Linked DNA regions of Sus scrofa. The protein of the gene in region 1 purifies or fractionates together with the protein of each later gene. This does not show direct contact. Links are inferred from orthologs where the notes say so. Each region holds a gene or a part of one and is shown on either strand. Other genes may lie near its edges.

What was found. Proteins that work in one complex are often made in the same cells at the same time.
Region 2: the proteins of DICER1 (region 1) and AGO3 purify together in Homo sapiens (affinity purification with mass spectrometry; 3 studies listed by BioGRID and IntAct, with this or other methods). This does not show direct contact. The link is inferred for Sus scrofa from reciprocal best matches to the Homo sapiens genes DICER1 and AGO3.
Region 3: the proteins of DICER1 (region 1) and AGO1 purify together in Homo sapiens (co-immunoprecipitation; 7 studies listed by BioGRID and IntAct, with this or other methods). This does not show direct contact. The link is inferred for Sus scrofa from reciprocal best matches to the Homo sapiens genes DICER1 and AGO1.
Region 4: the proteins of DICER1 (region 1) and PRKRA purify together in Homo sapiens (co-immunoprecipitation; 4 studies listed by BioGRID and IntAct, with this or other methods). This does not show direct contact. The link is inferred for Sus scrofa from reciprocal best matches to the Homo sapiens genes DICER1 and PRKRA.

Annotation. Positions count from the first base shown.
Region 1 is NC_010449.5:116,432,703-116,439,007, reverse strand, and holds the start of DICER1 (endoribonuclease Dicer), read left to right. Parts: upstream 1-2,587; 5' UTR 2,588-2,687; exon of another isoform or gene 2,688-2,848; intron 2,849-6,305. UniProt on the Homo sapiens protein: Double-stranded RNA (dsRNA) endoribonuclease playing a central role in short dsRNA-mediated post-transcriptional gene silencing.
Region 2 is NC_010448.4:92,079,905-92,086,073, forward strand, and holds the start of AGO3 (protein argonaute-3), read left to right. Parts: upstream 1-1,858; 5' UTR 1,859-2,060; coding exon of another isoform or gene 2,061-2,079; intron 2,080-6,169.
Region 3 is NC_010448.4:92,036,199-92,042,526, forward strand, and holds the start of AGO1 (protein argonaute-1), read left to right. Parts: upstream 1-2,017; coding exon 2,018-2,042; coding exon of another isoform or gene 2,043-2,223; intron 2,224-2,302; coding exon of another isoform or gene 2,303-2,616; intron 2,617-6,328. Other genes in the region: vegetative cell wall protein gp1-like, read right to left, coding at 1,086-1,309, 1,616-2,223, 2,303-2,616.
Region 4 is NC_010457.5:84,152,286-84,158,498, reverse strand, and holds the start of PRKRA (interferon-inducible double-stranded RNA-dependent protein kinase activator A), read left to right. Parts: upstream 1-1,902; 5' UTR 1,903-2,116; coding exon 2,117-2,181; intron 2,182-2,742; coding exon 2,743-2,912; intron 2,913-6,213. UniProt on the Homo sapiens protein: Activates EIF2AK2/PKR in the absence of double-stranded RNA (dsRNA), leading to phosphorylation of EIF2S1/EFI2-alpha and inhibition of translation and induction of apoptosis.

The DNA of each region.
Region 1 (6,305 bases):
AGAAGGAGGATTACAGAGAGTACCTTTTGGGTTCCTGGAAGTTTTCCAACTCCTGGTTCTAGTCTTTTGCTAGGAGGTAGCTGTCTTCCCGCTCTGGGCATTTGTAAGAAGTTCCTACATCCTTATGATAAATTCTTTCCTTTTGGTTAAGCTGTTTCAGGTTGGTTTCCGTTACATGCAAACAGAGAGTCTTAAACAAAGGTATATTTATATTCTGGCTTGTTCTACAAAAAAATAAAACAAATTGTGGAAATAATCAGGGCAAAGGGAAAATAAAAATTAGCCCACAGAAAATGCATACCACATGGTACTGAACCGTTGCTTCACACGGGCTGAAATATTAGCTCTAAGATTTCAGGTGATCCAAACAAAGTGTGAAACACTATCCCTCACAAGATTTTATGTCTCTGAATTTAAAACAAACCAGCAACTGGAGCATGAATAGATAGGCCATCGGAACAAAACAGTCTCGAAGTGAACTCTTCAACAAATGGTCAAGAAACGGCAAACTATGTAGCCATCTGGAAAAAAAAAATTTGGATTCTTACCTCACCCCATATACTGAATCAGTTCCAAATGGATCAATGCTTAATTGCAAAAGACTGGCTGTCTAAATGTCTGTCAATAGAGAACTGCTTAAACAAATTATGGGCACATCCCTGCAATAAAATATGGGGACAGAATAAAACAGCAAGTTTTGTATATATTGCCACAGACACATATTCTCGATGTATTAAGTTAAAAAAAGCAAGGTATAGTAAATACGTATGGCAGCCTATCCTATTTGTAAACGAGGACTGTCTTGGCTTGTATTGCATAAAAAATTCTCTAGGGGAATGAGCAAGAAACAGTGGTTACCTGTTTGGAGCATGGGCACAGGTGTAGGGCATTCTTTTTACCGTACACCTTTCTATGTTTTCTGACTAACGAACCATATGTATGTACGACTTACTTTAAAAATTCAAAACACCCTGATGAAAATCAGACAAACTTGCTGATGGAGAAGCTCAGCTAGTCTTGACAGACTGAGAGGATAGCAGGAGGGCTGAGAATTTTACCTGCCCACCCACTTCCGCTGCTAGTGACCTCCAGTTACCTATTCCCATCCTCGGCTGTCATCCTTCTCATAAAAGATCTCTCCAAAAAGCCTTTACTTAACATTACTAGGCAGGTCTGTTGCCCCCAGTGCAATATAAGTGCTTGATATATAAAAACATGTTATTTTTACGGAGGTCTGCCCAGAACATTCTGACTACTGCCTAATTTTACCCACAAACATGCTTTTATGTGAAATTTCTAGCCAATTCACAGTAACGACGTGCTCAAAAAGTGAGCACTGCAGTGACTGAATACACCAGCCCTGAAGCCAGACTGCCTGGGTTCAAACCTCAGTTGTTCACTTAATAGCGGCTTCCTTGCTGGAGGTTATCCACCTTCTTCTTCTGTTAAAACGGGGGGCATTTACAGCATAAAAATCACATAAAAATCAAACCTTACAACAGCCTGCCCAACAGCAATATAGTGCGAGTCACATACGACTTTAAACACTTTCTATTTCTAGTACATACACCAAAAAAATAAAAGCAAACGAAACCATTATTTATCCCCATATACCAAAAACACTATCACTTCAACTTGTCATCAATATCATACCCGTTAGGGAGAGGTTCTGCATTCTCTTTTTGGGTAAAGAATACATACATCTGAGTATCAGCTATCATATCTCCACTGGGACTAGCCATACTTTTAAGTGCTCAATATAGCAGGTGCTAAGTGCTAATTCTTAGAAGCGTGGCTGCTATTACCATACCTCATCTGGAGTAAGCCACTGTACCACGTGAGTCATCTGGAAGACGGGCCTACATTTTGGGATAAAGTCATAGGATTTGCCTTTAGCCAGTCACTTCCTGGACCTCCACGTTTTAACTCACAGCCACAAAACACACGGTTCCGATCTAAGCAAATGAACAGTTCGCATAAATGGGGCCGCTGCCCCCTCTCATGTGCAGGTTATCTCAGTTGCGAGACGGGGGTGAGGGTGGGATGAGTCGTCACCCCAAATGCGGGGGGCCCAGCACCACTAACCCCGGGGGGGGAAAAGCAGGCGAATGGGAAAGTCCTTTAAAAAGGGGAAGGGCTGGTAAAAGGAGCGCCGAGCCCTTCGGAGAACAATTACGGCCGTGGGGCAGGGCCACGTTCCGGGGATGTGGGTGCCAGAAGGGGCAACAATGGAGGCGGGCGAATTCCGCGAGCCAGCAGATTCTGCCGAGCCAAGCGAGCGTCCGCAGCCCCGGCCCGCGGGCCCTTGCAGGGCCGCGAAAGTGCCGAGCCGCAGGCGGTGGAACGTCCGGGTTGGGTCTGGGCTCTGGGCCGCAAACGCCGCCTGGGCCTCCACCGCGCGAGTCCACTGTCTCCCGGCTCCTGAGTGGCTGGGGGGCCGGGGTTAACCTTTCACCGCCGCGCTCTGTCCAATCACAGGCTCGCTCTCATGCCGGCGCGGGGCGAGCGGAGCGTGGGGGCGCGGAGGGGGCGGTGCGGGCGCGGGTGGGATTCTCCAAGCTGCTGTGCGCCGTTGCCGCGGGCCTTGCGCGGGCTGCGGGCGAGCCGGCCGCTGCGCAGTCTCCGCAGCCGCCGGCGGGAGGGGTCGAGGCGGAGGCGCGGCGCGGCGCAGGCTGCTCCAGGCCCAGGTGAATGGAGTAACCTGACAGCGGGGACGAGGCGACGGCGAGCGGGAGGAAATGGCGGCGGCGGCGGCGGCGCCGGGCGGCACCGGGAGGCCTGGGTTGTGACGCGCGCGCCGAAGCGGGGTCCGATGGTTCTCGAAGGCCCGCGGCGCCCCGTGCTGCAGGTGAGGCGTGCTCCCGCGGAGCCGCTTTGTGTCCAGGGCGGGGAGCGGCTCCGCCCGGCCCCGCGCCCGCCTCTGCGCGGAGGCCCGCGTGGGCGCCCGGGCCTGGGCCCCGCGGTGGGGGGACCGGCGCGGGCAGATGGCGCGGCCTCGCCTGGTCCTGGACGGCGCGGCCTGCGGGGCTGGCGTCCACCCCGCCGGGCTCTGCGCCTCCCCGACCCCGGCGCCCGTCCCGAGTCGGCGCTTCGGAGGGACTTTGTGCGGTCGCCCAGGCACCGGATAGGGACGCGGGCGCCTCCGCTGCGGGCGTGGGGCCGGTCCTCGCCGCTCGCCCCGGGCCCGCGGAGAGCGGGGCTTTGACAGGTCCTGTTAACGCACGCGGCAGTGGTGCGGGATCAGCAGCCCCGTCCCGGGAGCATCCTCGGGACCCGGTGGTGGCGGTGGCTGCGCTGGGCCTCCTCGATGGACACCTTCGAGGGGGCCAGGAGGGAAGGAAGCCGGGCCGTCTGTGCTGGCAGGAAAGTGCGAGCCTCTGGGGCGCGCCCTTCGAGAATTGTTCGTGTTTACTGGCAGGTGACCAGATCTGGGTCCCCAGGGGCCGGTGACCGAGGCCATCTTTCCCCCCACCCCTCCTCTCCAGTGTTTTTGTGCCAGATCGCCTGGACCCTGCAAAGGAGCCTTTCTTAAGGGTTTTTAAATCTGCTTTGGGAAATCAGTGTATGTTTCAAGTTAGCATAGTAGATTTTTTTGTAGATTGTCCAGAAGAGCTGAGCTGCCTGGTGGCTTTGCCCGCGGTACAGAGCTAACTAACCACTTAATGTATCTTTAATAGCTTGAAGATTTGCAAAAACCGAGACGAGCGGAGAGTCCTTGCTGTAGAGTTCAACCTGTGCTTTTGGGAGGAAAAGTCCTGCTGAAAGGGGCACATTACTGACTCATCTAAGTCTGAAGTATTGCGACTATCACGATTTAAAAGCGTTCATCTGATTCAACAGTATTACTCTGGAGTCTGTGCTTCTTGCGGTGCTTTGGCCTTTGACTTTTCTGAGTCGTCACAATCCTGATTTTCAGTTGTCTTCTTGTTGCTTGTTTTTTCAAGTGCAGCACAGTGAGTGGAAAAGGGCACAAGTCAGGAGTTAAGTAACTTGGAAATTATTTTTTTTAATGTGCTTTAAATAAAAGGCTAACCACATTGAAAGAGTATTGGCATAAACATTAAATTTTCTAAATAAAAATACCCATCTTTGCCAAGAGCTCCAATAATTTGTTAGAGGATGAATGACGGGACAAGATTCTGAATGTGCTGCTAGTGAATAGTAATTTTAGTATTAGTATCTTTGGGAAGTAGGTTCTGGAATAATCAGTTTATTTTGCAAAGCATTGTCTTTAAAGCTTGCTGTCCCTCTGGGGCATATGTATATTGTAAGTAATATATGAAACATATATGGTTACTTCAGAACTTCATTTCAGGACATATTTTATAAAACTATAGGTTAGAAACACTGCAGAGATTGCCTTTAATATGTCACTATGGATACTTAAATGGCAATGAGGGATTTATTCAAGGCATCAAAATGCTGTTTTAAGAAAAGATGTCCACGTTTCATTTGGGGAGCAAAGCCCTCCTTTTTCTGCAGTAAGGGCTTGCTTTCCTTTTTATGCTGTCTTCTCATCATTAAAGGCTAGTTCTGCTTCTTGTATTATGCCTGTGGGTCTGTGTGTGAGTTGTATGTGAAGTGGTTTTGCCATTGCTGAATTGTATTGTCTTGGTTTTAGAAGACATTTTTATCTTGATGTGGCTCATGATCCTAATTTGACAGTGATTTTGTGGTGGTGTGCAGTGGGTAGTACTTTTAAAGTACTCCTGTCTTCAAGAAGGCTGACCTTTAAGGCACTGAGATATTTATTCCCTGCCGCTCTGGGACAGATGGAGGAGATACTTGTTTCATTTGAGAAAGTAGGTATTTCATGGACATTCAACTTAATGTTGTCTTATTTTATTTATTTATTTTTTTTGTCTTTTTTTTTGCTATTTCTTGGGCCGCTCCCGAGGCATATGGAGGTTCCCAGGCTAGGGGTCCAATCGGAGCTATAGCCACCGGCCTACGCCAGAGCCACAGCAACGTGGGATCCGAGCCGTGTCTGCAACCTACACCACAGCTCACGGCAACGCCAGATCGTTAACCCACTGAGCAAGGGCAGGGACCGAACCCACAACCTCATGGTTCCTAGTGGGATTCGTTAACCACTGCGCCACGACGGGAACTCCATGTTGTCTTATTTTACATGCAAGGAAGCTAAGACTTAGAGGGTTCTGACTCTAGAAGTGACAGAGCCAGGATTGGATCCTGCTCTGATTTCACAGTCTTTACGTGTGGGCGCTTATCCTTGCGTTGCATTGCATCGCTGCTGCAAGTGGACTTGAGGTGAAAAACCTGCATAAGTTGCACGTAAGTCCTTAGTTAATACTTGCTGAATGAATTGAAACTGTCTCACCTTAAGTGTCCAGGTGACCTTTGATTATCTGAATTACTTAACATTTGCCTCCTTTTTTGTGGTAAAATACAACAAAAGGTACCATCTTAACCATTTTTAAGTGTTAATAATGCAGTGCTGTGGCATTAAGTGCATTCACATTGTTCTGCAGCCATCATCACCATTCATCTTCCTCAACTGAGACTGTCCCCGCTCAGCGTTAACTCCCCATTCCACCATCCTCCCCGGCCCAGGCCACCATCGTTCTGTTCTCTGTCTCTATGAATCTGACGGCTCTTGGAACCTAACGTAAGCAGAATCAAAACAACATTGTCCTTTTGTGACTTAACATTGCATCTTCCAGAATCATGCATCTTGTAGCCTGTGTCAGAATTTCCTGCTTTTTCAAGGCTGAGTAATATTTCATCATACATGGATGCACCCCATTTTGCTTCTCCATTCATTCTTCGATGGATTCTTGTGTTGCTTGTGCGTTTTGGCTTTGTAAACAATGCTGCTGTGAACAGAGGTGTACAGATTATCTGTTTGAATCCCAGCTTTCACTTCTTGGGGATTTGTTTCTTGATCATCAAGCAAGAAGTGGTCAGATTGTTTCTTAATCGCCAGAACACTAGAATAGACTCCGAATTTATTGCAATATGAGTTTTCTCAGGGTAGTTCCGGATAGTTCTACTTTCCCACAAATAGCAACTATTTGTTAATAGAAGACTTTAATCTTTTTGAGGCCAAAGACTTAGCTGTTTTTAATGATCTCCGTTTCCATCCGTATTAGCAAGTAGCTGAATTCATTCGGTTGATCCATCGTGGCGCCCTCGTTGTGCTCTGTTGGATGCCAGAGGGAGGTACTGGTCAGGTCTGTGCTTAACTTGGGTAAAGAGTAAGTTGGAGCCGAGTGGTTTCCCCTTGTGCTCTGGCACGTTCGTGAGTGCAGCACGCTCTCAAAGCCCCGGGGATGTATGTGTTT
Region 2 (6,169 bases), on another chromosome or scaffold:
GTCCAAATTCTGCTTCATCCATGTCATCAAATAAGGCTTACCTTTGGGGTCCTCATCGTCACTATGTCTATTCTGGGAGACACCTAAGAAGCCTACAGTCATTTAGGGAACCTGTTGAGGGGGTTGAGGGTGTGATAGACCCTTGCAAAAGTTGATATTTACCCCTGTCAACTGCTGTGGAATCCCTTTAGTCAAGGATTCAAAGTAACTTTTAAGATACAGTGTTTCATCTAGTAACATTTGATATTTTAAAATTGGGGAGAGCATTTTTTGTAAAAGGTAAAGTTATAAAAGTCAACTTATAAAGTGTTTACTATATGGTAGGTGCATCTAATAAGTGCTTTAAAATGGTAACTATAGTAAATACATTCTTACTAACATTTAGGGTGGATTTTCTGGATGCATAACGTGCATTCGTTAACTTCACAGCTGTGAGGAAACTGAAGCCCAGAGAGGCTCAAGTGACTGATCAAAGTCCCCTCAGTGATTGGGCTGGACTAAAGATAGGATATTTTTTCCTTTTCCTCTTTGTCCAAAGCTTTTTTAAAAAGAGTGTATTTTGATTATTAAAAGTCTAAAACATTACTGATGCTTCGGGACGTAGGGAAAAATCATGAATCATTCCTCATCCTGAATAAAATAGTATCATATTTCTTTAAGGCAAGAAAGACTAATGTGCTGGTCCTAATAACCTTATAAAGCTTACATTCTAGTGGGGGAGACGGCACATAATAAACTAGTACATGAAAACTGCAGATTGGGATATGGGCTATTAGGAAATACTGTAATAATATACAGAAGTCACTGATCATAGATCAGACGTCCGGGCAAGACCTCTGAGATGTCTGAAGTCGAAGTATGAAGAGCGGTTGGGGAGCTGAGGGGAAGGGGTGAGGGTGAAGAGGAAGAGGGCTCCTGCCAAGGGAACCAGAAGCAGAGACGCTCCAGGTCTATTAGGCACTTTTCCTTTTGCGGGAATTGGAAGCAGACCAGTATAGCTGTAGCATAGCGACGAGGAAGATTCTCACTTGAGGGGAAAGGCTGGGGCCCCGTTACAACAGGCGGTTTGGCCCCAGAATGGACTTTGGGTCTTAGCCTGACCAGGCGTTATTAAAGAGTTTTAAACATGGAAGTTATTCGAGCTGATGTTTGTGTAAAGTCATGTTTCTTAATCTAACAGAGTTATAGTGTACATTCCCCCCCCCAAAAAAAAATGGTCGTCAAAGCAACTCTACAAACGGAGTGATCAACTGTGGTGATCACTTCACCGCCTGCAGAGGAGGCGTGTGAGGCGGTCCAAACCGGGCGTGGTGAGAGGGTTTCGAGAAGGAGGGGGTTTTTACCCAAGACCGGAGATCGGCCCAGGGCCCTCAGATCTTTGTCCTGCCCGTCGCACTAACCACGTTCCCGGGAGGCTCCTGTGCAGGTTGGCTACGCCGCCCTCTAAGACGTCGTCTCAGACAAGCACGGCCCTGCATCAAGGCGGCAGGAGGAGTCCAGCCCCTCGGGGTTGTCTCCGGCCTGCACCGCCCGGCAGAGGACAGCGGGAGGGCCGGCCCCGCCGCGCTCGCCACCCACGGCCGCGCTCGCCTCAGGCCCCGCCCAGGCGCGGCGCCCGCTCGGTGACACCTCCCCTGCGTCCTCCGCGCCGGCCGCGCCCGCACGGCTAGGCTGAGAGGCGAGGCTTGGACGTCCGGCGAGCCCGGGCAGCGGAACTGACGCCAGCGGGCTTCCGGGGGCGGCCCCCGGGGAGGTCGGCGGCGGCGCCGCAGTCGTGGAGAGGCAGTGGGAGCGTAAGCGGCCGCGGGCGACGCAAGTTCCGTACGGAGCTCTTCTCTTCTCGCCACACGCTTCTTCCTCTCTTCTAGTCTCGTGCTGCCTCCCGACGGCCGATCTTCCTGACGGGAGCTTTCAGAGTGCGGTTGCTGAGGAGAAGCTGTCGCCACCCCGCCTCCGGGCCGAGTGAGGGTTCCTGTCGCGCCGCGTCGCTCCCTGCGCCGCCACCTTGCCCTCAGTGGCGGGCGCCCTTCTCGCTCGAAGCACTCCCCCCAGCTCCATGAATGGAAATCGGCTCCGCAGGTGAGTGAGTCAGAGCTGCTGGTCCGTTCGCCGAGGTATCCCCAGAACGTCGTCGCTCCCTCCGCCCAGGCCCAGGTGCGCGAGGTGAGCGGCGCCCGGGTGGCTCCCTCCTCCGCCCCCGGCCCCTCCTCCGCCTCCCCGCAGCCCTGCGGCGGTTCCCCCGGCCACGGAGTGGGCGAAACTGCGGGGAGGAGACGCTGCTGACAAAATTGAAGTTTAGGGTTCTCTAGGCGATATTACTCTTTCACTGGAGTCCAGAAGCGTTTGTCATCGCTTCTGTTATTCCAGTTGAAGATGTAACGGTGTGTGTGTCCTTTGACCAGGTTGTGTGTCCCGTAGGGGCACTGGGCGGCCGGCACTCTCCCTTGCTTATCTTTTAAGGTAGTCATGAGGATGCATTAGGATAACAGATAAAAACTAAGTTTAAGATAGGTATTAGTGCAACGTCAAATGCAAGATGGCATTTGTGTCATCCCTGAGTTCTCATCTGATGTTTGTGGCAGCATGGTATATAGTTTCTGAGGATCTTGGAAATGTCATTATCAGCCTGGATCACTGCTTATGTGAGGCGATAGGTCTTAAAATTTCTGTCCGTCGGTCTATCTAGCTACCTGTCTTTTTCCATTTTTCTTTTTTTTCCTAGAGAATCGGCCATCATATTCTTGGAAATTTGGAATTTAAGAAAATTGTTTCTCTCTTTGGGAAAAATGACAGTCTTGAGAAAAAAATTGCAACATGGGCAGTGCTTATCGTAAAAAAAAAAAAAAAAAAAAAGAATGAAAAAGCACTCTTTATGGTCCGTAATTAACTGAAGGACATAAAGTAGGTGTTACGTAACGGTTTGCTTTCCAAATGATCATACTTGGTATGCTAAATTTGGAAGTATGCTTCATCCAGTCAGAAATTTATAAATTAATTTTGAAGATATTTGGGGGGGTATCTTGTTACTAATAGGATCACAAGTCCCTGAATTTCACATCTCATTTTGCCAGTTCGGGAGGCACTTAAATATGAGATAAGAAAAAAATCATATAAAAGAAACCAGTGACATGATAATAAAGATTTTGTTGACTGCGTTAAGGAGTATAATTATCAAGTAGATGCAAAAAGCACTTAGAAATTGTAGAGATGGGCTGGAGAGAAAGGTTTATTACAAGTTTTATTATATGGAATTTTCTCTAATCAATTTCTATCATTTCTCTTTTGCATGCTCCATTTTCCCCTCTTATTCATGTCGTCTTAAAAAGGGCAAGTTTGTCTAGATTATCAGGAGTTTTAGACTCTTGTTTATCATCGATTTGTGTATTTCCAAAACTGCCCTATCCTACCTTTTTTGTTTTTTGTTTTTCAATTTTCTAATACACTATTTAGAGATTGTGATGATTTGGAAACTATATGTAATTTTTATATAACTGTTCTATTGTTGAGCCTGAAAAACAAACATGAAAGTTAAAGACTTTACTAATTATCTTAAAATTTTAAAGACATTTCCAAAACATTTTTAGTTTTTTTCTTTTTCTTCTTTGGGTTTTTCATATGAAATTATTCCCAAATATGTGGATAGCATCTTAGAAAATACTTCTGAAGTCAAACCACCTAGTCAATTAGTCCACCTAACCAAGTATGATTCATTAAATGCTGCTATGAATTCTTGAGCGATAGACAACTTTTACCTCATTTTTCATGTGCTATCACTGAAATATATACCCATTTAACTGTCTTCACATCTGCAGAGGTATGGTTAGATTTATCAACCATATACGTGGACATCTTGAAACACAAAGTTTATTCTTCAGTGCAGCTTAAACATGATTTACTAAAGAAGATAAATTATAATTTGGCTCAAGATTGTCATCTTCAAGAACAAAATTTTCTTTCTTCGTAAGACTTACATGTAATTGTTATGCAGCAAGTGAAATTGAAAGCATAGTTGAGGAAAATATGCAGCTAAATTTAAAATCAAGAATTTGACAGATAATACATTTTGCTTTCAAAAATTTAGATGCACATGTTCTCTGATAGTCTGTTGAGTCAGTGTTGGTTCTTAACCCTCCAATTCTGATCTGAGTTTTTCTTTTCTATGTAGATTTTCAGGAATCATCTTATGGCAAGGTGTTATAAATTCTAGTTGTTAGGTGGATACATAGAAAACGAATTTATTTACATTAGAGGACTTCAGATACAAATTCTGTATAATTGTTTCTTGATGAGTCATTCTTCACCAAAAGTTAATATTTGTCTACATTTTCCTTTCGTATGTAATATTTTAAGTGATTTTTTAAAGGATGTCCTGTATAATGTACTGATTTAGTACTGTGTGAACTTTGATTTAACCAAAAAGCTGGCAGACATAATTGTTTTTTGTTTTTTTTTTTTAAATTTTATTTTCCCACTGTACAGCAAGGGGGTCAGGTTATCCTTACATGTATACATTACAATTACAGTTTTTCCCCCACCATTTCTTCTGTTGCAACATGAGTATCTAGACATAGTTCTCAATGCATAATTGGTTTTTAAATAATAATGATTGATAGTTTAGCACCTGTGCCTATGACTCCTTAATTAAGGGAACTTTTGATGAAACTAATTTTTATGGTTTAATTACAGCTGGACTAAGAGTATATATGTTATATTTTCATTCTAAATAAAGTGGGAATAGAAGAAGCAGAAAAGTTCATGGAGATAGCAGTTTTCCTGAATAACTTTTTTAGGACATACTATTCTAGTCTGTATTTTTAGGTAAAGTCAGACTACTGTTGAGGGCCTAAGGAATTGTACTTACCTACTGATGGAAGAAAAAAATTTTCTATTATCTTAAATTAATGATAAGGCAAAATGATTTGAACTGTTCGGTAGTTGTCTCATACAGTCTTGCAAAATGAGTAGGTTGTTTCTTAGTTATATTCTTAAATTAGTGTTTGGATATAGTTGTTTCAGCACTCTACATTTCTTTCTTTCCTTCTTTCTTCCTTTCTTTCTCTTTCTCTCTTTCCTTCCTTCCTTCCTTTTTTTTTTTTTTTTGTCTTTTTGCTATTTCTTTGGGCCGCTCCCGCAGCATATGGAGGTTCCCAGGCTAGGGGTCGAATCAGAGCTGTAGCTTCCAGCCTATGCCAGAGCCACAGCAACGCAGGATCCGAGCTGCATCTGCAACCTACACCACAGCTCACAGCAACGCCGGATCGTTAACCCAGTGAGCAAGGGCAGGGATCGAACCCACAACCTCATGGTTCTTAGTCGGATTCGTCAACCACTGCGCCACAACGGGAACTCCCTTCCTTCCTTCCTTTCTTTCTCTTTCTCCACACCGGTGGCATATGGAAGTTCCCCGGCTAGGGGTTGAATTAGAGCTGCAGTTGCCGGCCTAAACCACAGCCACAGCAACGCCATATCAGAGCCACGCCTGTGACGTACACCACAGCTCATGGCAACACCGGATCTTTAACCCCCTGAGCAAGGCCAGGGATGTGTCCTCATGGATACTAGTCAAGTTCATTATCACTGAGCCAAAGTGGGAACTCCCAGCATTTCTTTAGTAATTAAAATTTTAAAAAGTCATTTGCGGACAAGTTACAAATGATATATAGAAGCTAGATTTGAATGGGATAGATAAAAGTTGTGGATTTGAAAGTACTAAAATATATAATGCCATTAGATTTCATTTCTTTAATCACTTGCTATGTGTTTTTATTATTTTGGGGGGGGCATGCCCAGGGCATGTGAATGTTCTCAACCCAGGGATCGAACCTGCGCCACAGAAGTGACAATGCCAGATCCTTAACCTGCTATGCCATAAGAGAACTCCTGTTTTTATTGTTATATGGATTTTCTCACCTGTAGATTTTTGTCTTGAAGAAAATAAAATACTACTCTGTCTAGAGGGCATGAATTTTAAACTCAGAAAGATTTTTCTACTTGGTTGTCGCTTAACTTTTAGCTGGTGCTGCTCTGGAGTAGCCCTTACAATTATTTTCCTAATATTTGCTCCTCTTGACTGGCTTTGGGACTTATAAAAATTTGCAAAATTTTTTTTTTTTTGTCTTTTTTGTTGTTGTTGTTGTTGTTGTTGCTATTTCTTGGGCCGCTCCCGCGG
Region 3 (6,328 bases), on another chromosome or scaffold:
CTAGTAAATGGCAGCACCTGGGTTGAAACCAGAACAGTGTGATTCTAGAGCCTTTGTTCTTAACTTTATATTGTTGGAGCACTAGTTCTCAAAATGTCCCCAGATCAGCAGCATCAGCCTCATCTGAAAACATATTAGAAATCCATATTCTTTGTGTCCCACCTAAGACCTCCTGAATCATAAATTCTGGAGGTGGTGCTCAGCATTCAGTGTTTTAACAAAGCTGATGCCTGCTGTTTGTGAAACTCTTCAGAGAAAAGCAAAGGATACTATGAAAAGTGTCAGAAATTAATCTCCTCCAATGGATAGTGACTGGTATGGTCTCTGTTAAGTTTCTAGCCTTCTGCACAGCATCTAGTGGAAAGTAGGTGTCAAACAATACATGCGGATGAATGCATATGAATGAAAATATGGAAAAGTTATGTTTGAACTGGGTCTCTTGCCACCTATCAGTTGAAGGGGACTGAATGGGAGTAATGTTCCCAGAATCTGTGAAACTAGCAAGGTAACGTACTTTTGGCAAGACATGATAAGGGTCTGCACCAGCACAAGGAACCATCAGAATGGCAAGGACGACATATGAGAGCAGTTCAGGAAGTAAACAAGTCAGGTCTTGGTAAACAGCTGGCTGTATGGGTGAAGAAGCAAGGATCATTTCTGGGGTGAAGGTGCCCTTTGCAGAGACAGGAGGTACAGGACAGGCACATTTGTAGGGGAAAGAGAGTTTGGTTTGGGACTCTAAATTTGAAGGGCTGGTTTATCCAGGTGGAGCTGTCCAGCAGACATTTGGAAATATGAGTCTGAGACATGGTTGGAAATAGAGATTTGGAAGGATAGTTGAGCCATAAGAGTGAATGACACTTTTAAGGGGAAAGTGGAAAGTGGAATGAGAAGGAAGAGCTGGGTGTGGAACCATGATGAACACTGTTACTTAATGCGTTGAAAGCAGGGGGGAAGGGTCCTTGAAGAAGACTGAAGAGGACATAAACAATAGAAGACCTCAGAAAATGCTGAAGCCAAGTGGAAGGCTCAAAAAGGAAGGAGAGGCACAGTGTCATATGCCGCAGAGAAATAGGGACTGAAAATTATCCTTTGAATTTAGACACAAAAAGTGTTTTAAGTGGCGTGGTGAGGGGCAGAAGCGGATTGACTGAGTTCAGGCGTGAGCTGTAGATGAGAAAGTGGAGACAGGTGCTTCCCAGGTCCCGCAGGTAGTGCTCGGTAGCTGCACTTAAGTTTGAGAATGTGACATCTTCCAGGGTAGGCAAGGTCTCTTTCACATCTGTGGTCTCAGCGCCCAGCACTTGGCCTGGAAGAGAGGGTGGCGTCAGTGAGTTCAGTGACTGGGGACGGAGAAAGGCTTCGCGGAGGCAGTCGCTTTGCAGCCGAAGCTTGAAGGATGAGGGTGATTGGGAGGAGAGGTGGGAGGCAGGGCCCCTGGGTGATGGGTCTCTCAGAGTGTGTGAGGGTGGCCCGGGAACGTGGTGGATATGCACGCGTGGCTCTGTGCGAAGGGGGAAGGCTGTGTATGGGCTTGGAGGGACCCATTTGGGGAAAAGACAGGGCCGGAGGCTGCTGCAGGGGTGTCCTCCCGCCCCGCCCCACTTAACGCTACCGCGCGGTGCCGCGGCGCCTCCACCGGAGCCCTCCCGCCGGGCTGCATGGCGACGGGTGACCGCCAGGGGCCGCTGCCTCCGGTCCCCGGTGCCCCCGCCCCTCTCCATTGGCCTTTGTTGCCGTCGGAGCGCCCCGTTTGACTCGTTCCCGTCCGCCCCCTGGGCCTGGCGGTCGCGCCTGCGCACTGGCAGCTGGCCGGGCGCTCGCAGGGGGAGCTGCTGCAGGCTCCGCGGCGGCGGCGGCAACGGAGGCTGCGGCGGTGGCGGCGCGAGCGGCCGGGCTTGGCGGGGGGAGCCGAGCCCGGCCCGGGAGCCTGAGCAGCTAGAGTGCGGGGTATCTAGACCCCTCACACTGGACTCCACAGTCTCTGGGCCGCCTGACCTCCGCACGGGTATATGGGATGGAAGCGGGACCCTCGGGAGCAGGTAAGGGCCCCCGGGAAGGGGGGACGGTGCATGCTCCAAGGACCAGGGTACTTCCGCGTAAAGGGCAGGATTTCCGAGTGAGGAAAGGTTTCCTGAGTGAAGAAAGGGGCTCTTAAGAGATGGGGGGCCCAGTTTGAAGGGGGCTGTGTGCAGTTCCGGGGGAAACCTTGTGAAGGGAGCTCTGAGACGAGGGCCATTTATCAGAGACTGTATGCACTCCTGGAGGTGGGAAGTGATCTGAGAGAAGGGCCTGAACACACGTAAGGAGTCCTAGAGATCCCGGGAGGCCTAGGGAGAGGCACGGCAGGTGGCAGGGGGCGGGCTCCAGGTGTTCAGGAGAGGAGGGGGTCGACACAGATGGGCCCTGAGCTGCCGCATGCCGGGGGCGGGGGTTCATCCCGGCTAGGCTGGGTTGGGTTTGTGTCTTTTCGGGAGAAGGCGCCAGATCTGGGCTGTGAGCTCCGCCCCAGCCGGGCCTAACGCGGGGGCGAGGGTCAGGGGGCGGTGGGTGGGGATCCAGCCCCGGGATTCCCCCCCTTGAGTCTGGGGAGCTGGAGAAGAGGCGCCGGAGCATGCGCGGAGGTGGCAGCTGGAAGGGGCTGCCTGATGTGGTGGGGGCGTGGCCGCCCGAACCCCCCCACCCCCAATCGTGCCAGGTTTGGCTTGGAAAAAGGAGCGCGAGGATGGGGTGTATTCTCTCTTAGGTCATGCTGGCTTAGCGCAAATGGAAATGGGCCCCTTCCCCATCCTGAGGCTCTTGCACTTGGCCCTGAAAACCTTCAGTCACAGTTTGCCAAGAATGGATTGAAGGAAACTGCCAAAGTGCCTTATTCTGCTACTGGGATGAGGAAAGACTGAGATAGAAGCAATGTTTTAGGTTAGAGACGGGTCCTTCCTGAAGACAGGCCTTAGAAAATGTATTGGTTACTTAGGAACCGAAGTCAGGGCCAGGTTTGCCTAGAAGGGGTTGTCTTTCCGGTTTGCATGTTTCTGGTCCAGTAGTGAACAGAGTTGGGATCTTTTAATCCAAGTATAATGACCTCTCTATTGAAATGTCTCCAGAGGTGACAGCCTAATCTTTCTATACCTTAATGTTTTTATGGCTGCTATCCCCCACTGGGTATCTTTTCTTTTCCTCTCTCTACTCCCCAGAAACTCCTAGGGCCATGTTATTACAGGTTGCCAAGCTAGCCTTTTGCCGCAAATAAGTTGTTTGGAGTAGGGGGAAGTTTATAGCCTTCACCCTGATGAGTCTCAGATCATAGCTTTAATGTCTCGTTACTCACAACCAGGAGAAAAGTAGGTAAGAGTAGAAGAGAAACTGAGGCAGAGCTGCCCCAAGAAGACCAGAGTCCTTGGATGGGCTGTAGGGTGGAGACACCTCCTGTGTCCTAGATAGGAGACCTTTGATGGGAGGAGTATGGACCTTTAGGTCTTGTCTCACCACTTCCTTCCATTTGATCTGGGGGTGGGAATAGGATTTCCACTGGGGACATGAATTTCATTTCTGGTTGAAGAATCTTTGTCTTTTATACCACAGCTATTCCCCTCAAGGAAATAGCTCCTACCAGCACATTCAAGTCATCTATTCAGTGACTTCTAAGTACTTAGTGACTACTTTCCCCAAGACAAAAACAAAGCTGGAATGCTGGGAGCAACTGACTTGAGAAAACTACTTCCTTCTTCCCTTAGGCCCCTTTCTCCGTTCAGGGAACTCTCCTAGTTTTCTGGGCTGGAGACAACTTGCGACAACCTATGGACTAGGGTAGGAATGGGTCACAGAGGTCCAGATGGATTGCTGGGAGCTGGCACTCATTCCAGACTGTGAATGATCTTGTTGATCATTTATCTAATGATGAATGCCTAATGGACTCTGGAGTGATGAAAAATTTGACTTTGTTGTTGTAAATAAATAAGCTTATAGGGAAGAAACTGGAGCCTGGTATCTGGAGTTGGCTGTACCTTAATGGGGCAGGCTTTACTTGCCTGGTAATTGGAATTTATTCTGAAAGCTGTGAGTGGAGGGATTTCCATAACTGCCTCCTTCCTAGGCCCAGATGATTTTCTTGGAGGTCGGAGGATATGATACACAAAGCAAAGTATTGTTGCTGGCTTCATTGGGCTTATGTCCAGATGTGCCTTCTGTGCTTAAGTGTGTTTTAAGCACATATACTGGACTGGGAACTCCCAGGGTAGAGGTGGTGTCTGATTTATCTGTGGAGGCCCTGACAGAAGTACATGTTTATTTTTTGAATTAAATCAAATTCTAGTGTGAACGTAAATGGTTAACACATATGTGAATGTTTAATAATTTGATGTACTCAGTGTGTGATACTTTTTGGTGAGATTGGCCTCTTAGTCTTTGCTTATCAGACAGCTAACCTAGCCTTGAGTTTGTCTTTTGAATGGACAGTCTAGCTCCTTGGGAGGTATGTGGGCCTCAGAACTGCAGGGAAGGAATCCCTGAGCCAAGCCTTTCAGCTCTGATACTTTTCCTTCTCCCGGCTGGTTGGGGATGGGGGAGGGGGAGTGTCCTTTTCATAGCCCCTCCCTCCTTGCTTTTGTCTGCAGGGAAGGGCCCCGCCCCTTTCCCCCAAGGCCCAAGCTTTGTCCTCTGTGCTGGGGCCCTCATCTGCATCACAAAGTGGCCGTCTGTCCCTGTCTGGGTCTGAAGGGAAGTGTCTCCCTTTCTCAGACTAAAAGCTGGGGGCAGGGTGGGGTTAGAGGGGAACTTTGAAAGCCTTGCAGGGGGATCTGGTGAGGAAGGGGTTCTCTATTCCTCCTGCCTTCCCTATTTTGGGGATGAAGGTGAAGGTGGGGGCTCCCTGTTTTCCCCAAGCCTTCTAGGAGTAGAGGGTGCCTAAGGCTAAGTCTGGTGTGTAGTTCTGGGGAAGAGAAGGCTTTGAGACTTGAGTGTCTGTCCCATCCCCCATCATTTCTACCCAGCCCCTAGCTCTAGGGGATGAGTTTCTCCCAAGGCTCCAAACAATTATTCAGCCTGGGAGGCTATGGAGGTGAATGGAATATTAGAACATAGGGAGGGGAAGGGTGTCTCTTACCCGCTACTTCCACCAGGGTCAGGTTTGTCCTGTGCAGGATTTGTAATTGTTTCTGAGCAGTTTGCAGGTGTTTGTGTGCTGTGCATGCGTGTGTGTTCTTTGTGATGTGTCTTTGGATCTGTTTGTTAATTCATTTGATATCTGTATATTGGACCCCTCCTATATGCCTGGCACTGGAAATTCAGCAGTGACCAAGGCAGATACAGCCTTTATATCTTTGAAGAAATCAAAATCTAGGGTGGTGAGGGATATGTGTATGAAGGTAATCTATCCAGGCCTAAGTGTGTGTTTGGGTGTGTATTAAGTGTGTTCCTCTATGTGTGTATGTCTGTCTGTGGCTTGTGTACAATTTCCCTCCAGCTCTTCCTGGGGTAGGCTGCCAGGTGCTAGTCATTAGACTTTCACTTCCCCAGGTAGCTGATTCCTGTAGGCCTCTTCCCCCTAGGCTGGGCCTCCATTTCCCTGTCTGCAGAGTGGGGTAGACTTGACAGGTGGTTAGGAGATACAGCAGCTTAGCTCTGGGAAGCCTGCCCCTCCCATGAATGGTTCTGACCTCTTCCTGACCCCCCAGCTGAGGATATGCCCCATCCCCCCAGCCTGGCTGACTGTGAAAGCAGATCTCTGGTGATGGGAGCTTCTGGGCTGGTTTATCCCTCTCTCCTCCCACCTGGGCTGGTCCTCTACTGGCAAGAACAATAGTAGATGTGGACAAAGGGTTCTCTTGGGCAGTTTTTCTCCTCCCCCCTTTCCTCTCAAGCTAGAAAATAAAACCAGGGGCAGCAGTCTGGCTGGTGGCAAGAGAGGACAAAGTGGTGGGAGCTGGCTCTGCTCCAACCCTTTCCCAAGGACCTCCTCTCTCTTAAAATTGACCCCTTTTGCTACTCTCTGGGCCCTCTATGTGAAGGAACTGTGGACTTGGAGAGAATCTTGTATTCTTCTTCTCAGAGCCAGTAATCTCTTTCTTCTCCAGCATGCTAATGACTGCCCCTCCTTCCCAAGTCGTCTGCTCTGGCCTACTCTTGCCTCAGTCTCCTATATTTAGCCTGTCTTCATTCTCTTGCTTTTTCTTCTTTTGAACTTTTTCTTTATTGTCTCCCCAATGTTTCTTGCCCAGGCTCCCAACTCTTACTTTACCTTGCCTCAGCCCCTAACCTCAGCCTTTCCTTCTTCCCAATTCAAACATTTTTCTCCAGGTCCAGCCTCTTCACCAGCTCCCTGTTTCAGTTT
Region 4 (6,213 bases), on another chromosome or scaffold:
ATTTGGAATAGTAGTCTATAACACTAAAATATACACAGAAAACTTAGTAATTTTTAAATATCACCAATGTCCTTGATGAGGGTCACAGGTGATAGTGATTTGCCAGGTTTTAATGAAGCATATGGCCCTATGGGGAACAATGCAATTTAGCCACTAACATGAGCCCTGGACACCACCAACAATGGATCTAGTCCAAAGGGAATTCCTTCACAAGTCCATTACAATAATTTTGGCAACAGAAAAGTACTCTTACAAATCCTTATGCTACACAGTTCATTCTTTGAACATTTCATTCATTTTTCCTTGTACGTTTATGAAACCAAGTGATTAATATAAAAATAAATTCGCAGAATATACAGAAACAAATGTATGCAGAACTTTATAAAACACTAAGTCATATTACATATAACTGAATAAACTCTGAGCTAGGGATTTCTTATGCTGGAGATGACACATAGGGTCCTGCTGCATTTATTTTTGTTTCATAATTATCTCGGTTACTCAACCTTTAGAGAAGTATATAAAGTTTAGGCTTGTCTTTTTTGTTTGTTTGTTTGTTTGTTTTCTCTTTCTGCTATTTCTTTGGGCCGCTCCCGCGGCATATGGAGGTTCCCAGGCTAGGGGTTGAATCGGAGCTGTAGCCACCGGCCTACGCCAGAGCCACAGCAACGCGAGATCCAAGCCGCATCTGCAACCTATACCACAGCTCACGGCAACGCCGATCCTTAACCCACTGAGCAAAGGCAGGGACCGAACCCGCAACCTCATGGTTCCTAGTCGGATTCGTTAACCACTGCGCCACGACGGGAACTCCTAGGCTTGTTTTTTAGGAATTTTACGGCTAAAAATAAATTTTAGAAACAAATCTGAGTCCTGGAATTATGTATTGCCATAGCTATGTGGATATTAACATATTCTGAAGTAGTGGCTATATGGTACCTTCAATAAGACATTCATTAAAACATAACAATGGATAGTAATAGATATACATCTATAGAGGGAAGAGGGAGGGAAGAAAAAACAGACTTGTTTCAAGCCTCAAGTAATATAAATCACTTTGATTAGATCCGGATTTTTTTTCTTTGCTTTCAAGTATCCAGGGTTCGAGAGTTAACAAAAGTTTCCAAAAATGTCTCTTCGTGTGATCAGTATTGTGCCAGGCAATCCAGCAGAACGAGAAAGTACAAGGGGTTATTTCTGCAAGCAAAACCCCTAGCAGCGATAGGACATCTCATGTAGCTGAGTCCCATCAAAGGTGGTGCATCCCAGGCAAACGCCATTACAAGCAACACAGGTGTGCAGAAGCAGCAGTTAATTGGAATTGGGTTCAAAGAAAAGCCTTCGTTTACACCTAAGGTGTCTTGCTGGGACCCGCTATCCTAGCACTCAGCAGTCGACGAAGACAATGAAGCCCACCCCGGGTGAAAAAAGTGGGTCTCCCTACGTCTCCACGATCACCTAATGGCAGGCTTCAGCGACAGGACGAGCCCACCCGCAGCCTTCAGGAGCCGATATACTGCAAGTCTCACGTTTCGGGCCCAGACCGGGGCAGGCTCTCTGGCAATTTTGCATTTGAAATTTTGAAATCATTTTCTTAAAGTGACGCAATCGTCCTCTTCCCCCCCTCCCACCCACCCCTTCAAAAAAAAGGCTGAGCTGCAGGCCTCACAGACTGAAGCTTGCAAGCCCGCGGACTAGCCTCTCTAGGCAGGAAACAGCCTCCTTTTAAGGACACAGAACTGCGGTCTCCTCAAGCCGCTGGGCAGAAGGCGGGGCACCGTCTGCAGCTGAGGACTGCTGGGGCTGCGGGGAGGGCGGGGAGGGCACTAGAGAGCCTGGAGAGCAGGTGGGCGGGGCTGGCGAGGAGCTCCGCCAGAGCTGGGGCAGCAGGGGGCGTGGCCGGGAACGGAGAACGGGGAACCGTGCTCTTGCACGGAGGCTCCACCCCCGCCCGTCCCCCGGAGGGACGCAAGAGGGGAGGAGAAGGGGTGTCGGAGGAGGGGAGGAGGTGGCGGCGTCGGCGCCGGATCGCTTCTCTCGGGGACCGGCCGACCCGTGAGCGAGAACGTAGCTCCGCACTGCTCTTCCTCCCGCTGGAAAACCGTCCCTTCTCACCATGTCTCAAAGCAGGCATCGCGCTGCGGCTCCGCCGCTGGAGCGCGAGGACAGCGGGACCTTCAGGTCAGTGCCCTGGCGGTCGGGACCGAGCCGGGAAAGGCCAGGAGTGGTGGGCAGGAGAGGAGGGGGCGGGGGAGCCGGCTATCCAGCGGCATTCTGGGTAAAGCCCCTTCCTGGCGCTCGCGTCCGGGCTGCTGCTGCTGGAGCGGAGGCTAGCTCTCGGCCCCGCCCTCTTGGCGCGCTGGCCGGGGTCTCCAGCAGGGCCCAGCCCCGCCCCTCCTGTGACCTCGGGCTGCGCGGGGTGGGCGGAGGTAGCACGCGGCAACCCCGGTGGGTTTTGTCGGCTTGGTACTGGAGATTGCAACTCCCGTGCGTGCCTCCCGATTTCCTTGCTACTCCCTTCTACCCGCATTCAAGTTATCTCCCTAAAGACCTCCGTCCCCCTGCCCTCTGCCCGCCGCGGCGGGGTCCGGAGGCTTGGTAAGCCTCTCCAGTCTGGCCCTGGCCGACGGGCAGCTTCGGTGCCTTCGGCGTCACCATTAGGGGCTGTTAAAACTAGTCTCAATGCTTCTATTTCCCTCCCCGTTTTGACGTGCAAAGCACAGCTTTTTCTGGTTTTTGCAGTTTGGGGAAGATGATTACAGCTAAGCCGGGGAAAACACCAATTCAGGTATTACATGAATACGGCATGAAGACCAAGAACATCCCGGTTTATGAATGTGAAAGATCCGATGTGCAAATACACGTGCCCACTTTCACCTTCAGAGTAACCGTTGGTGACATAACCTGCACAGGTCTGTATGCACAGTTAACCCTGATGACCCTGTAGGTTGGCTGTCAAGAGCTGGTATTGCTTCTCTGTTCCCGAAAAGTGTCCTAGAGACATCATTGAGGAGCAGGCTCTTGAAACTGGGACCTTTCCCGGATCATTGGGACGTTTCAACTTCTCTGATTCCCTAATTTTCTCTTCCCTAGATACTAAGAGAAGCTCAGAAACATACCCTGGAACCCTCCTAGGGTTCTTCCAAGAATTAGGTAGAAGCGGGAAAGATTCTTGGAGCAGGCATAGCTGAATTAGTAGATAGTGTCAAGTTTCTTAGGTTATAGCAGATGGCAGAGGGCATGACCTCAGAATTTTCTGAGCTGCTCCCCTCTGTTTGGACTCATTTGGCACTTTGGACCCATTGTACCATGCTGGACTCTATCTAAGCAAGCAACAAGCAACTACAATGTTGTGTGGCAGTTTCTAGTTCTTGACACTGTACAAGTTTTTTAAATAAGATGTTATCTCCCTTTTTTTTTTTTACAGTTGAGGAAATCTGTTCAGAGAGATTATAAGAAACATGCCCAAGGTCACATAGTAGTGAAGTTTCAAGATTCAGATTCACCTATGGTCATTGAGCTAGAGCAAATAATAACTGAAGTAGCCCATTTGCACCTGTAGACATTTTATTTCTTATGTATTTAATTGCAAACACAAAAAATATTGATTACTAAATTTAATTTGGAAGAATGCCAAGGAAAATATTCAACAGGAAGGCTGAAGTTCCACCATCTGGTAATCTGAAGGCATCATTTGTTTGTGTCCCCGTTATTTTCAATTGAAGCCACGTTAAAAAAAAAAATTCAGGATCTTTTTTGTCTGTGTGGGGCAGGTGGATTGTAGCTAGATTTTAGCTAGAAGATTCCTCACAGGAATCATAGAATAAGCATTGCATTACTGCTTTAGCTGGTCTATTTGTAAATGTTGGATGAAAATTCAAGAAAAAGTAGCTCTCCCCCTCCCCCCCCCCCCCCCCCGAGGTTAACAACCTATGGCAACTGCTCAGCCCTCCTACTCTTCTCACACTGCCCTGTCTTCCTGTGTAAGCTTATCTGTCTATGGCTTCAAATACTACCTAAAGGCTGATAATTCTGAAATCTGTCTTCAGCTCAGGCCCAGGTACAGAACAGTGTAGCAGCCTGTGCTTGCTAGACATTTTCACTTGGATGACCCAAAGACACCTCAGTCTCTCACTGACTCAAAATGAATCCATCTTCTCTTTCAAACCCATTTCCCCTGCACTCCCCAGCACAATAGAAGCACCTTTCATCACCCATTTGCTCGAAGTAGAAATTTGAGTTTCATCTTCTTGATCCTTTCCCTTCCCTCCTCTTGTTTCCCAGTCTGCCACCAAACCCTACTTCCTAAATATCTCTCTTTTTTTTTTTTTTTGGCTTTTTAGGGCCATGCCCATGGCATATGCAGGTTCCCAGGATAGGGGTTGAATCAGATCTGTAGTTGCCAGCCTACACCAGAGTCACAGCAACGCCAGATCTGTGCTGCATCTGCAGCCTACACCACAGCTCACGGCAACGCCAGATCCTTAACCCACTGAACAAGGACAGGGATCAAACCCGCAACCTCATGGATTCATTAACCACTGAGCCACAACGGGAACACCCCCTAAATATATCTTGAATCTGCCTGCTTCTCTCATCTTCACATTGCTACTGTCCAAGCCACTTGGATTATAGTTACAGTCTCAAAGCTGCTCGTTTAGCTTCTAGTCTTGTGTCCATTTTCCACATAAAAACCATAGTGTTCTTTCTGGCATTCATATCTTTTCATATACTTCCTCTTCTTAAAATCCATTCTGTTTTTCACATCACCCTCTGGATGATTACAGATTTCTTAATGTGACTGACAATCTTACTTCTCAAAGTGTGAATAACAACAGCAGCATTGATTTCATCTGAGTATTTGAAGGGAGTGCAGAATATCAGACCCCAGCCTAGACCTACTAGATCAGAACATGCCTTCTAACGAAATTCCCAGGCAGATTCTGAAGTTTGAGAGGTACAAATTTAGGAGATCACTCTTTGACCTCTCCTACCCTTCAACTCTCTAGCCTTTTATCTCAAAATTCCTTCCCTCAAGCTCTTAACTGTCCCCAGCGATGTGGGGCTTGAGAGTACCACACGCCATGCTGCCTCTTAGCTTTTGCAGGTTCCCTTTTTTCTGCCCACCGGCCCTCCCTAATCCCCCAGCTTTCTTCACCTAACTTTTACTAATCTTTCAAGTCCTTGTTTAGTTATCTCCTCCTTCATGAAACCTTCCTGAATCCTTACCAAGAGTATGGGAGGGAGCTGTGCCTTTTGTAGCCTACCCTACAACCTGCACTTGGGGCTGCCGTAACCCTCCATATTTCAGGTCTCTTTTTATGGACAAAAATCTCAGGCACTAGGCTATATACTCTTTAGCTCAGAGACTCCATTTACTTCTCTACTACAGTTGACCCTTGAATAGCATGGTTTTGAGTGATGTGGGTCCACATATACACAGATCTTTTTTAGTAGTAAATGCAGTACCCACAGTCCATGGTTGGTTGAAGTTATGAAGGAAGCTGGAAATAGAGGAACCACAGAAACAGAGGGCTGGCTTAAGTTATAGGTGGATTTTCAACAGTGCAGAGAGTTGATGCCCCTAAGTCCCATATTGTTTAGGGGTCAGCTGTATATCCCTAATACCTGTGTTAGTGGATAAATGTGTATGGTTTGTATGTTTTCTGACACTTGAGGGCCACGCTTGACATGTATTCCATGTCCCTTTTCTTTTCTCCACACCAGACGAATGGACATCAACATTCTGATACCACTTTAGAAGGATTCTCAACACTTAGTTTGAACTCAGAAGGAAAATGGAGTTTACAAGGGACTGTGGGCTTATTAACTGAAATTAGACATCAGTCTCAGTGAGTAGTCAGGGCTGTTGCCTTCTGTCCCCTTAGTAACCCACATAAGGGATACAGACTGTATGGAGAACCCATCACATAATCTCTCACTTTATTCCCTATTGAAACCTTCCCACACTGTATCCAACAAGTAGCCGTGATGCTTAGCCTAGCAGCGGGACCTGTATAGGAGGGGCTGTTAGAGTAAAATTGTGCACGTTTTGCTGTCAAACAGTTTTGCTGTAAGTGGCTCCTTTAAAGGAAACTTCTTACTACAGAAGAATTTCCTCTCTAGAAATAAGGGCAGAATATATTAAATTGCATTTCTTCAGAAGGTATGACATGATCTATTTTATTATCATTTTATGTAATAAGCACATAT